Linked DNA regions of Oryzias latipes. The protein of the gene in region 1 interacts with the protein of each later gene in a biochemical or structural test. Links are inferred from orthologs where the notes say so. Each region holds a gene or a part of one and is shown on either strand. Other genes may lie near its edges.

Region 1 (3,500 bases):
ATTTGACGTAGAGTGTCATATTAGACTGTGGTTACCAACTGATCTAGTTTTAGAAAACTTAAATATCACATAACCTACAGACATTTTTTCCACAGTAAATAGTCAACCAGTCTTTTAGCTGGTGAAGCTTATTTCCTGCATGTGATGCTCCACTTCACTGCTGAGCAGCATAAACCAGACTAGACTCAATAACCAAAGCAGACAACACACATAATTAAAATCAACGTCACACATTTTTACTGAATCAACTGAAAAGAAAAGACAGACACACAGGCGAGTTTTTCCATGTTTATTCACTATAACACTAAGTGCTCCCATTCAAGATACATCTCAACGCTTCGCTCTTAGATTTAATTAATTTTGGAGTTAACAAAGTAGAAAGACAGTTTGATGATCTACCAACTGTGTGCCAAAACTCCTTCCAAACACCCCCCCCTCCCAGAAAATAAAATAAAATGGAACAAAACACATGACATGGAGAGCATCAAGAGAAAACTATTGTGGTGTGCAGCAGCCTGAAGAAAGCCAGAGTGCTGAAACGAGGCTTTGAGGGTGCTTCAAAGTGAAGGAAGGGAAGGAAATTCATCAGTTTGATGCTGTAATTCCATTTCCAGTTGAGGAACAAAAAATAAAGGGAGAATTGGGTTTTTACGTTGTTGAATAGCCTTGATTTAAAAAAAAAAAATCATGTATTAAAAAGTAACAGTATGAGGGGACAGATCTATTAGAAATGGGCTCCAGAAGAGAGGAGAGCAAGCAGGGTGTGTTTGAAAGCTCTGCTTCAGAATGATAGTTAGGTGTTATTGTACATACAGACTAGTTGGGCTTTGCAATGAGGGCACCGAGGCTTTTGAAGTTTAAAGGTTCTACTACAGAAAAACATTAGGATGTCCAATTTACATGCTCCCTCCCTCTCTCCAACAAATCTCCTCTTCCCACAGTCAAGCACAGAGTGGAACTGTAACACACAGACAGGTATCCTTCTGTCAGCTTACTGGGGCTATGTACAGTCAGGCACAGGTTTAAACAAACCACGGGCCTAAAAAAGGAAACCAATTGATCCAATAGAGCCGATCTGGATCAATCCACCCACCCTTTGTCACACCACTATTTCCCCACTAAGAACACCCCCATTCCTTGCATCCCCCCCTAGCAACTACCACCCTCCTGTGGGTGGTCTCCGGGTGAGGCTCAGCGAATGGTGTATCTGACGTAGGGCACTTCCACATCTTCATCTGAAGTATCGTTACAGCAGAGCTCGAACACCAGAGCTTTAACGTGCTTGCCCAGCTTCTTTTTGGACACCTTGGTCACAATCTCAGTCATCCTGCAGAAATCAGAACAGGAAAAACTCAGTTTGTGGAAGGAAAACGTAAAGAGGCTGGACTCTCGCGTATGCAGTTACTTACGGTAGGTCAAGCCTCTCTTTAAGCTTGGCAGCGGGCATGAAAAATGAATAGAGCATGGACACTCCCTGAGAAAGCATGGTGATCTCCAGCTGATGCTCGTTCTGCCAAACAGGGGAGAAAAAACAAAGTTACTCATTGCAAAAACAAAAAAAGTTGGAGAAGAAGCACCTAAATTTGCTGAACATACTTTAAAGTAATCCAGAAACTGGCGGAGTGTCATCTCTTCACCGTTGGCCTGCATTCCTGTTACTTCAAAGCGATCCCACAGACTCCATTCAGTTTCATAGTACTGGAAATAAATGAAAAATAAAGTTACAGCTACTGTAGGTAAAAAAAATAGACATCACACAGAGCTGCAACAATGCTATAAGCGCATATTTGGTAAACACGTCTCCTCAGCACACACTGATCACACCAGTGTGAGAAGGTGAGTTGAACTCACTTGCATCCAGTCAGAGTTAATGCAGCTGACTGATGCATCAGTATTAGCATGGCTGAATCATCACAGGAGCCAGAAGCAGACTAAAACTTTATCACTGTGTCACAATCGTCACACGTTTTATAATCTTTACAAACTTGTGGGATAAAACAGCAACACCTCACCTTATGTTTTGGAGCAGCAATGGGCTCAGAGTAGGCAAAGAAAGGCAGGGCTAAGTTCATGAAACCATTCTTGTACGTCTCAAGCTTCTTGTGTCCTTGCACGACCTTGATGAGCTCCAGGCAGACCAGGCCAACAACTGCAGCGGTGGTGGTGGCAATGGCAGGAATGATCTTGCCGGCAATCAGTTTGCTCTGGAAAGAACAGTAAACCAAAAGAGAAATTCACAATCGATCAGCTAATGAACGGAGGTTAAACAATGAATGAAAAACACTCACTTTGGTTTGCTTAACATTTCTAATTTATAAAAAACATACAGACCAAGTTTGAGGACGTTTTATATGTCACAATCACTCCTTCCAAGGTTAATTGGTTACTCTAAATTGTCTCTCACATAAGTGTGAATGTGAGAGTGCATGGGTGTGATTGGGGCCCTGCGACAGACTGGCGACCTGTCCAGAATGTCCCCAGCCTTCACCCGCAAGTGGCGGGATAGGCTCTGGCATCGCCGTGACCACAAAAGGGAATAAACAAATTAGAAGATGACCGAATGACTCCTCCCTTCACCAGTCCAGAAAAATTCAGACAGATACATTATTGAAAGAGAAAGAACAGGGGAAAAAAACTTAAAGTATTTCTGCCCAGAGGTTTTGCTATGCGAGAATCAAAAAAACAAAAAGACGCCCTTGTTAGTTGGCCAAATGAGGTCATGTGAATGTTTAGCCCACCTTGTGTCTGTCTGCAGGCGGAATGTCATAGTTCTCTGCTCTAAGGTTGGATGCGGCCACAATAAAGTCCATGTGGAAGTTGGTGTCATCATCCTGGAGGGGCAGAAATAAAACCATTTTTAAAACATTTCTTCTCGGGTGATCCATGTTCTTCCTACACTACAAAATAAATGAGGCTGTAGCAAGTAAAAGGGGGTAATTTAGTGATAAATAGAATGACATTTTCTAAATACAAACACACAACGGGGTTCATTTGCATAGAGAATCACGTTATTACGACATACAAACTAATAATGACATTCACGTTTCATTCATCTAGTAAATCGATTTTTACTTCTACGTTCCTGTATTATTTTGATGACAACAAAAAAATATACAGAATTACTTTTTACATTTTTTTTTAGAAATGACAAACATTTGTAACATGACGATCAAAGAAAGACTGATTATGTCTGACGTGAAAGAAATTGAGTACCTTTTCAAACTCGATGGGGTTTAATTTGAACTGGAAAGACTCTGGTGACGGCAATTTGGTTTTTAGTTCTTCCAGTTTAGAGTCATCTGCATTAAAGAGATCCATGTCACAATAGGCCTTCAGCAAAGACAATTATACACAAACATTTCTGAAAGATTTTCAATGCTGTCTTGTGCATAAATACGGTCTTACCAACAGAAGAGTTGCTCGATTGCAGCTCCTGGTCTGAGACGTGAATTTTAACCCCAGAACGGGGGGTAAAAGTGGGCACCTTGACCTCTTGCAAA
Region 2 (2,854 bases), on another chromosome or scaffold:
CAGACGTACAGTTTTAGGCCAGATTCCAGCTCGGACGAGGAAAACGAAGGATCTATTTGTTTGCAAGTGGATGCATCAGAATGCAGTGAAGCAGGGAGCTTTAGACCAACTGATTATAGTATTTATGTAACAACTACAAGCTTTTTCAAAGGACATCTTTATCATCTGCTTCTGAGTCAGCACAAAATGGATAAAGAAATACTTGCAACAAGTTTTCTTTAAATAAACTGTAATCCTAGTAAGATTACTCAAAGGTCTAAAATCTTAGTTGTGCTTGAAAGCTAAACACCTGACTTTAAGAAACTGTGACTTACAGATCAACCTTCAGACAGGGTTTGAGGAGAATCTGAAGGATCCAGAACTTTGAAGAGTCTTGTGTTGTCTTGTCTTCCTCTTTGCTCACCTCCTTCCTGGTTGACTGAAGTTATGCAGCGATTCACGGCTGCAGATTCCCACACTTCCTCACATTTTGCAGAGAGTAAACCAACATAACAAGCACCTCACTCTTTCATTGCCTTTATTGATCTATTTGTGAAATCAGACAAATCCACAGGAGACGTTGCAGCAGAGCTACGACGGCCCGGCTGTGAAAGCCCAACTGCGCATCGTGAGGATCCTGCGTCACGAAGACAGACAGTCTAAAAAGTCCGAAGAAGTCCAACGCCGCTGTGACCACTAAAGCAAGAGTCTGGGGGAGGAGACTAGCAGAGGAGGTAAGAAGACATGCAGTGTACGGCTGCTGACGCGCCTTGACGAGCACCCTCCCATCAGTCTGTCCATGTCAGCGGCTCTGTGTGCTGGTGGTTTCCATGGTGATGGTCTTTCACCGACAGACGCCCTGACGAGACGTCCTCCTCATAAACCCAGAGACCTGCGGACGATCTTCTGAGCCAGTTTGTTGAACTGCTCTCTGTCCTCGCGCCACATTTTCGAGGCATCGACGTTGGCGCCGCTCTCATCGTTGGGCTCTGAGGACGACAGGTTGAATCTGTGAATGGCGCCGAGTCCCTGCTGGTGTCAGACGCAAACGAGTTCCATACCTGCCAGCATGCTGACCACGGAGAGCAGGATCTTCTCCACGCTCTGGACTGGACTCCACCTTTCGGCGCTGCTCTCGTAACCCATGGGATCGTCACCCGGGGCGTGGAGGATAGAGATGCACACCCGTCCGTCGGGATAGACTGGGGCGGGGGAGGAGAACGCTTTAGTTCACCGGTTCTAGCTTCTCTGAACTCTTAGCAACTTTTTTTTTAAACTGCTAAATGGGATTATATTTCATTTCGTATCGTCTTTTATTTTTTTACACTCTCTCCCGTTAGCTTACAGCCCCTCACAACCCCAAGCTGAGAGGTGCAACAAATATGGTGAAAAATGTTGGATGTTTCCCGCCGAACAGTTTTAAGGACGTTCATGGATCTAGTCGTCCAGAAGTGTGTGCATTGGAAGAGAGTGGAGCAGTGAGACTTTAGCCTGCCCCTTGGAGTTTCTACATCACAACTGAGAGCGTTTTTGTTTTGTCATCTGCTCCTGATTTACCATGATTTAAATTAATAAATACTAAGAAAGGCAGTTACAAGCTTCGATGCTCTATGTCCTCTATCACAAGAAAAATGCAACAAAAACATTTTAAAAACACCAAAACCACATATTCTATTGGAGTGGGTCTTTAATCTGATCCTGTTTGGACCCCCTCCCCGTGCAGGGGGTTTCAGGGCGCTGCCGCTCGGTCCAGCTGCAGGAAATCTCCTCTGAAAACCGAGCCGCTGTTATCGGCAGCTTCCGTTTCATCTTTAACAGTTGCAGCGTGGAGTTCGGCTCAGGGCCATGCTGGTGAAGATGAGCGACAAGCACTTCGTCTTCTCATCAGCACTGAGCGCGCTCAGAGCGCTCGTGTCCTGACATCACGGCTTCGGCCCCACTAATCAGAGAGCGGTAAAAACACGCCAACAGCAACAAGCTCTGGAGCGTGCCGAGACAAGTCTGCAGACGGGCTAAGACACAAGACGTGTGTGTGAGTGGAGGTGTGTGTGTGTGTGTGCGTGTGTGAGTGTAGGGGTGTGTGTGTGCGTGTGTGAGTGGAGGTTTTAAGATCCAAATTTCAGTTTTCCTGAGTCATCAAGAAGATGAAATCAAACGTTGCTCCATCACAGATACTTAAAGCGGTCGCAGGTTTGTGCGCTCAACATCTGTTGCCATGGTGACGAAAGCAGGCACAAAGCCGTGGGCGGACTCACTGTTGGGGTGAAACATGTCACAGGTGAACCTCATCTTGGGAGGACTGAGAGGATAATCGGAGGGGAAGCTGAGGACAGCGGGGAACACTCCGCCTTCGAAACACGTGTCTTCGGGGCCCCTGAAACACAAACGCACATGCGGCGGTGAGAGCCTCACAACGCCAAACACCAAGAAAACGCAACAACGACACTGGAGGCTAACCCATCGCCTGGAGAAGCTTCAAACTCCGTGAAACACCAGAGAGCGAGGACTTGTGGAGAGGATCCTACAGACCTTGTAGTTGGATCCTCCTGCTGCTACTGTATTCCTCATGGCGTAATAAAAACGAACAGCAAGAAAATCAGCAACAAGTCTCAGAAGACCGTGTTGGGATAAAATAGAGTCTCCACTATTTTCTGGTCTTTGTTGTGGAAATGTTGAGAGCTTTTCTCCACCAGCTGATCTTTCAGGGTATGTCTAGACTAGGAAAATCCTTTGTTCCGGATCGAGTCCTGAACCCTGCGTTTGGTCTGTATTCAGACTGGCATCAAGCGGACCATTCTGCTCCGGACCAAAGCTTTGGTACGGCAGAGGCACGCTGCAAGGCAGGTCACTGGCAAGGAGGCGTGGCGCGCGAGGA
Region 3 (3,500 bases), on another chromosome or scaffold:
TACAGCATGTTTTCATCATTTACCAGTTCATGTTTGTTTTGAACTCAGAAGATGCTTTTTAATTCAAGAATGTAGAAAATCCAATCAAATAAGACAGAATAGAAAAATGTGTTGAATTCTCTTTACAACTTTTGCTGTAAATAATAAGTTTAGGCCTGAGCTTCAACATAAAGTGTGAAATTAGACAGTAAGGTAATTTTGGCAGGCTGATTTATGGAATAATAATTCTTAATATGGATAACTATTTTACACAAATGGAGGAAATCCTTAAATTTGACCAATTTTTTTGTATATTGAAAAATGTAATTCATTTTTGCATGATGGTAGACCTTTATTTTGAAGCACTGGTCAATCTGTTCTCTGAAGGACTGTATGGTGCAGTCTGAACAGCTTTACAGATGGGGAAAAATAGCAACACATCTATTATAATAAATCAATCAATAAAACAACAAACTGACTGAACTGAATGATGTGGTTTGTTTTAGCAAAGATTTGTTTAGTAGATTTTTCACTAAGCTGGTTTCACAATTGTTTGTTTCATTTAATTTGCTCATTAATTGTAACCCTTACGGTTTGGGGGATAATGTTTGATGTGGATTCAGTAACTTTTCTGTCCCAGAACAAGATTTTAGAAGATAAAATGATGTCAACTGATGATTGAACACTCTAAATTGTAAGGACTAACTGTAAAAACTGTGAACTAATTTAATCATGAATTCTGCAAATATCTTGAGTGCAAGCTGTATTTAAGGCAAACGGTGGAAACACCGAATTTTGACTTATGAGGACTGCTGCTCACAAGCATTTACTAACAGCTGTTTTATAAATGATGAAAGAAAATTTTGGCAGTAGACTTTTGAACCCACTGTGTGTGCAAACATTTGCAGACGCACACACACGCTGACAAAAGAAAAGGGGTGATGGGGGAGAAAAGATGGACCGCTCTGATCATCACGAGTCTTCGTTGCCAGAGTCGTCCTGGTTGTCATAGCGTCTGGTGGAGGTATCCCCGTCCTCCGAGGTGCCAAGGCCCCCCGCCTCACCTACAGACTCCATGTCGCTCTCATCTTCGTCTTCGTCCTCCTCCTCCATGTCATCGTCGTACAGGTCGTCGTAGAGGAGGTCGGAACTGCTGTCCTGAGAGGGAACCCGGGTCTGGACGCAGTACTCTGCCAATGTGGTCGGCACCTTGACTCCATCCCGCTCCGCCTCCGCTGCCGTCGAGATCACCTGCTTCCTGTTAAAGAAGAAAGCATAAATGAATCTGAAGTTTTTGTGTGCGTTTCTTTTCATAATGAATGGATTATCATCAAGCAGCATCAACTGCAGGTTACGCTTCGTCACAGACAGAGCAGTACCTAATAATCTCTGCGTACTCTTTGTCTTTGCCTTTGCTGTCCCTCCATTTGCGAAACATAACCGACGCGTCCACGTTGGCGGGGGAAAAGGTGTTGGGCTCATTGAGCAGAGAGATGACACTCAGCAGAATGGTCCTGCTCACAAACAATGAAAGACAAACAAACAGGTAAGAAAATGAGAACATTCATTTGGACGTCATGTGAAAGAAAGGTGCCTTTTTAAAGCTTCAAAGGCTTCGCTCTGGCACATTCAGACCCCCCCCCCCCCCCCCCCCCCCCCCCCCCCCCCCCCCCATGTGGCTCAATTACACGCTGCATTCAGTCCGCTCTGGCTTCAAAAGACAGACTCAGCATTTTACTTCAACTCTCTTCAACCTGCTGACATGCTAAATTTTAGAGGAGATGCACAAACCATCCCTGCTGCGGCATCTCCCCTTTAGCTCCACACAAAACGAAGGCACGCCACATAGAAGCTCACACAGGGCCAATGTTGATTTGCACCTCAAAATCTTCTGTAAATGACCTTCTGTGCTTTGTTTACTGCTGGAAATGCTTTCAATGAATACATGTGTTTTGATAGATTAGTATTTATTGATTGATTGGTGTATTTCAAGCAATGACATGAAGAATGCTGAACATGAGAAGTTAAATCATATTTGAGTATTGTCTTGGGAAAAGAACTTCATTTCCCATGATGCATATGACTGATATGGAGTTTTGGTAAACTAGTTTTTACTGCAGAAAAGTTCTGTGAGAAATAACAACATTTCACTTTTGCAAGCCCATATTTTTTTTAACATTTTGTGGGGTTTACAACAAAAACTTAGTTACTTACTTCATCGAATAGAAATTATCCATCACTGGTCAACAGTGGCAATGAATCTGGCAGGTATGCCAATTATTTAAGATGCACATTCTATTTGTGACAATAAATTTTTTTTTGTTTCTTGCAGATGCCTGTGATGTCATTAACAAGGTACAATATTAAATTAAGTGGGTAAAAGGGATGATTCTTTTAACTTTTATTGACTACGTGGCACTAAAACTATGTTAAGTGAAATCCACCCAAGCAAAAACGATTCCAAATGCATTTAAACTATTACTGATAATGAGAAGTGGCGGCTGTTTTTTTTTTTTTTTTTTTGAGCTGGCAAAACATTTGAAGTTCTGTCACTTTCGGCTTTTCCCATCAGGGGTCGCCACAGTGAAACAACCTCTCTTATGAGGATGAGTCGCATGGTAAACTTGGCAATGTTTTACGCCAGATGCCCTTCCTGACGCAACCCTCTCAATCTAATCAGGCTTGGGACCGGCACAGAAGCAGAGAAGGGGAACAAGGAGCAGCCCAGATTCGAACCCTGGTTTCAAGGATGGAAGGTGCCGCAAACCAGCACGAGCTAAACCATGTGAAGTCGATGCAGAAAATGAGTATATTTCCATTGAGGTTCTGATACTTCCTGGTCTAAGTAATTAAGGAGGTTTACAGACCAAATATGACAATTTTAAAATAAAAGAAATGAAAACCAAACCTCTCTTTTATGTCTCCCTTTATGTTTCTCTCTATGGGGGAGAGAAACATAAAGGGAGGCTGAACTGGGAAATTACCTCACATTCTGGGTGGGGTTCCACCTCTCAGAAGGTAGCTCTCCACTCTGTGGATCATCAACAGGGGGGTGCAAGATGGAGATGCACACATCCCCGTTCTGGAAACAGACCGAATGCCATTACATATGTGGTAGACACAGCCTCAGATGTAGTTAAAATCCAAGTTGTTATTAAAGGTTTTCCAAAAAAAACAAAAAACGAATAATGTGTGAGCCATTCAACACTAGAATAAACTGGCTGAGCTTTGGAGAAGTTGGAATAGTCAAGCAGCGGGCAGCCATGCGTTCAGCATTTATTTTAAATACGGTAAATATCTATGAGGCAAAGTCATTTTAATAAATCAATAATCAAAAAAACATTTTAATATAACAGTAATAATCCTTCTCTAATTTCAACAAATGTGTTTTTCTGTATTATAAAAACACACGGTGGAGTGAAAAAGAGTTTGCCTGTCCTTAATTCTTATCTGTTTGCATGTGTTACACCAAAATGTTTCTGCTCTTAAGAAAAATATGTTTATTTAAAAAAAAGGAAAAA

The links.
Region 2: of the proteins of uba1 (region 1) and ube2g2, one has a biochemical effect on the other in vitro, tested with the Homo sapiens proteins (5 studies listed by BioGRID, with this or other methods). The link is inferred for Oryzias latipes from reciprocal best matches to the Homo sapiens genes UBA1 and UBE2G2.
Region 3: of the proteins of uba1 (region 1) and ube2r2, one has a biochemical effect on the other in vitro, tested with the Homo sapiens proteins (5 studies listed by BioGRID, with this or other methods). The link is inferred for Oryzias latipes from reciprocal best matches to the Homo sapiens genes UBA1 and UBE2R2.

The regions. Positions count from the first base shown.
Region 1 is NC_019865.2:13,790,528-13,794,027, reverse strand, and holds the end of uba1 (ubiquitin-like modifier-activating enzyme 1), read right to left. Parts: coding exon 3,406-3,500; intron 3,300-3,405; coding exon 3,214-3,299; intron 2,832-3,213; coding exon 2,739-2,831; intron 2,205-2,738; coding exon 2,013-2,204; intron 1,921-2,012; exon of another isoform or gene 1,800-1,920; intron 1,699-1,799; coding exon 1,597-1,698; intron 1,511-1,596; coding exon 1,410-1,510; intron 1,328-1,409; coding exon 1,192-1,327; 3' UTR 275-1,191; downstream 1-274. UniProt on the Homo sapiens protein: Catalyzes the first step in ubiquitin conjugation to mark cellular proteins for degradation through the ubiquitin-proteasome system.
Region 2 is NC_019879.2:26,801,107-26,803,960, forward strand, and holds the end of ube2g2 (ubiquitin-conjugating enzyme E2 G2), read right to left. Parts: intron 2,354-2,854; coding exon 2,235-2,353; intron 1,182-2,234; coding exon 1,041-1,181; intron 969-1,040; coding exon 856-968; 3' UTR 501-855; downstream 1-500. UniProt on the Homo sapiens protein: Accepts ubiquitin from the E1 complex and catalyzes its covalent attachment to other proteins. In vitro catalyzes 'Lys-48'-linked polyubiquitination. Involved in endoplasmic reticulum-associated degradation (ERAD).
Region 3 is NC_019863.2:17,248,031-17,251,530, forward strand, and holds part of ube2r2 (ubiquitin-conjugating enzyme E2 R2), read right to left. Parts: intron 3,062-3,500; coding exon 2,964-3,061; intron 1,494-2,963; coding exon 1,359-1,493; intron 1,238-1,358; coding exon 952-1,237; 3' UTR 1-951. UniProt on the Homo sapiens protein: E2 ubiquitin-conjugating enzyme that accepts ubiquitin from an E1 ubiquitin-activating protein, and catalyzes its covalent attachment to other proteins by an E3 ubiquitin-protein ligase complex.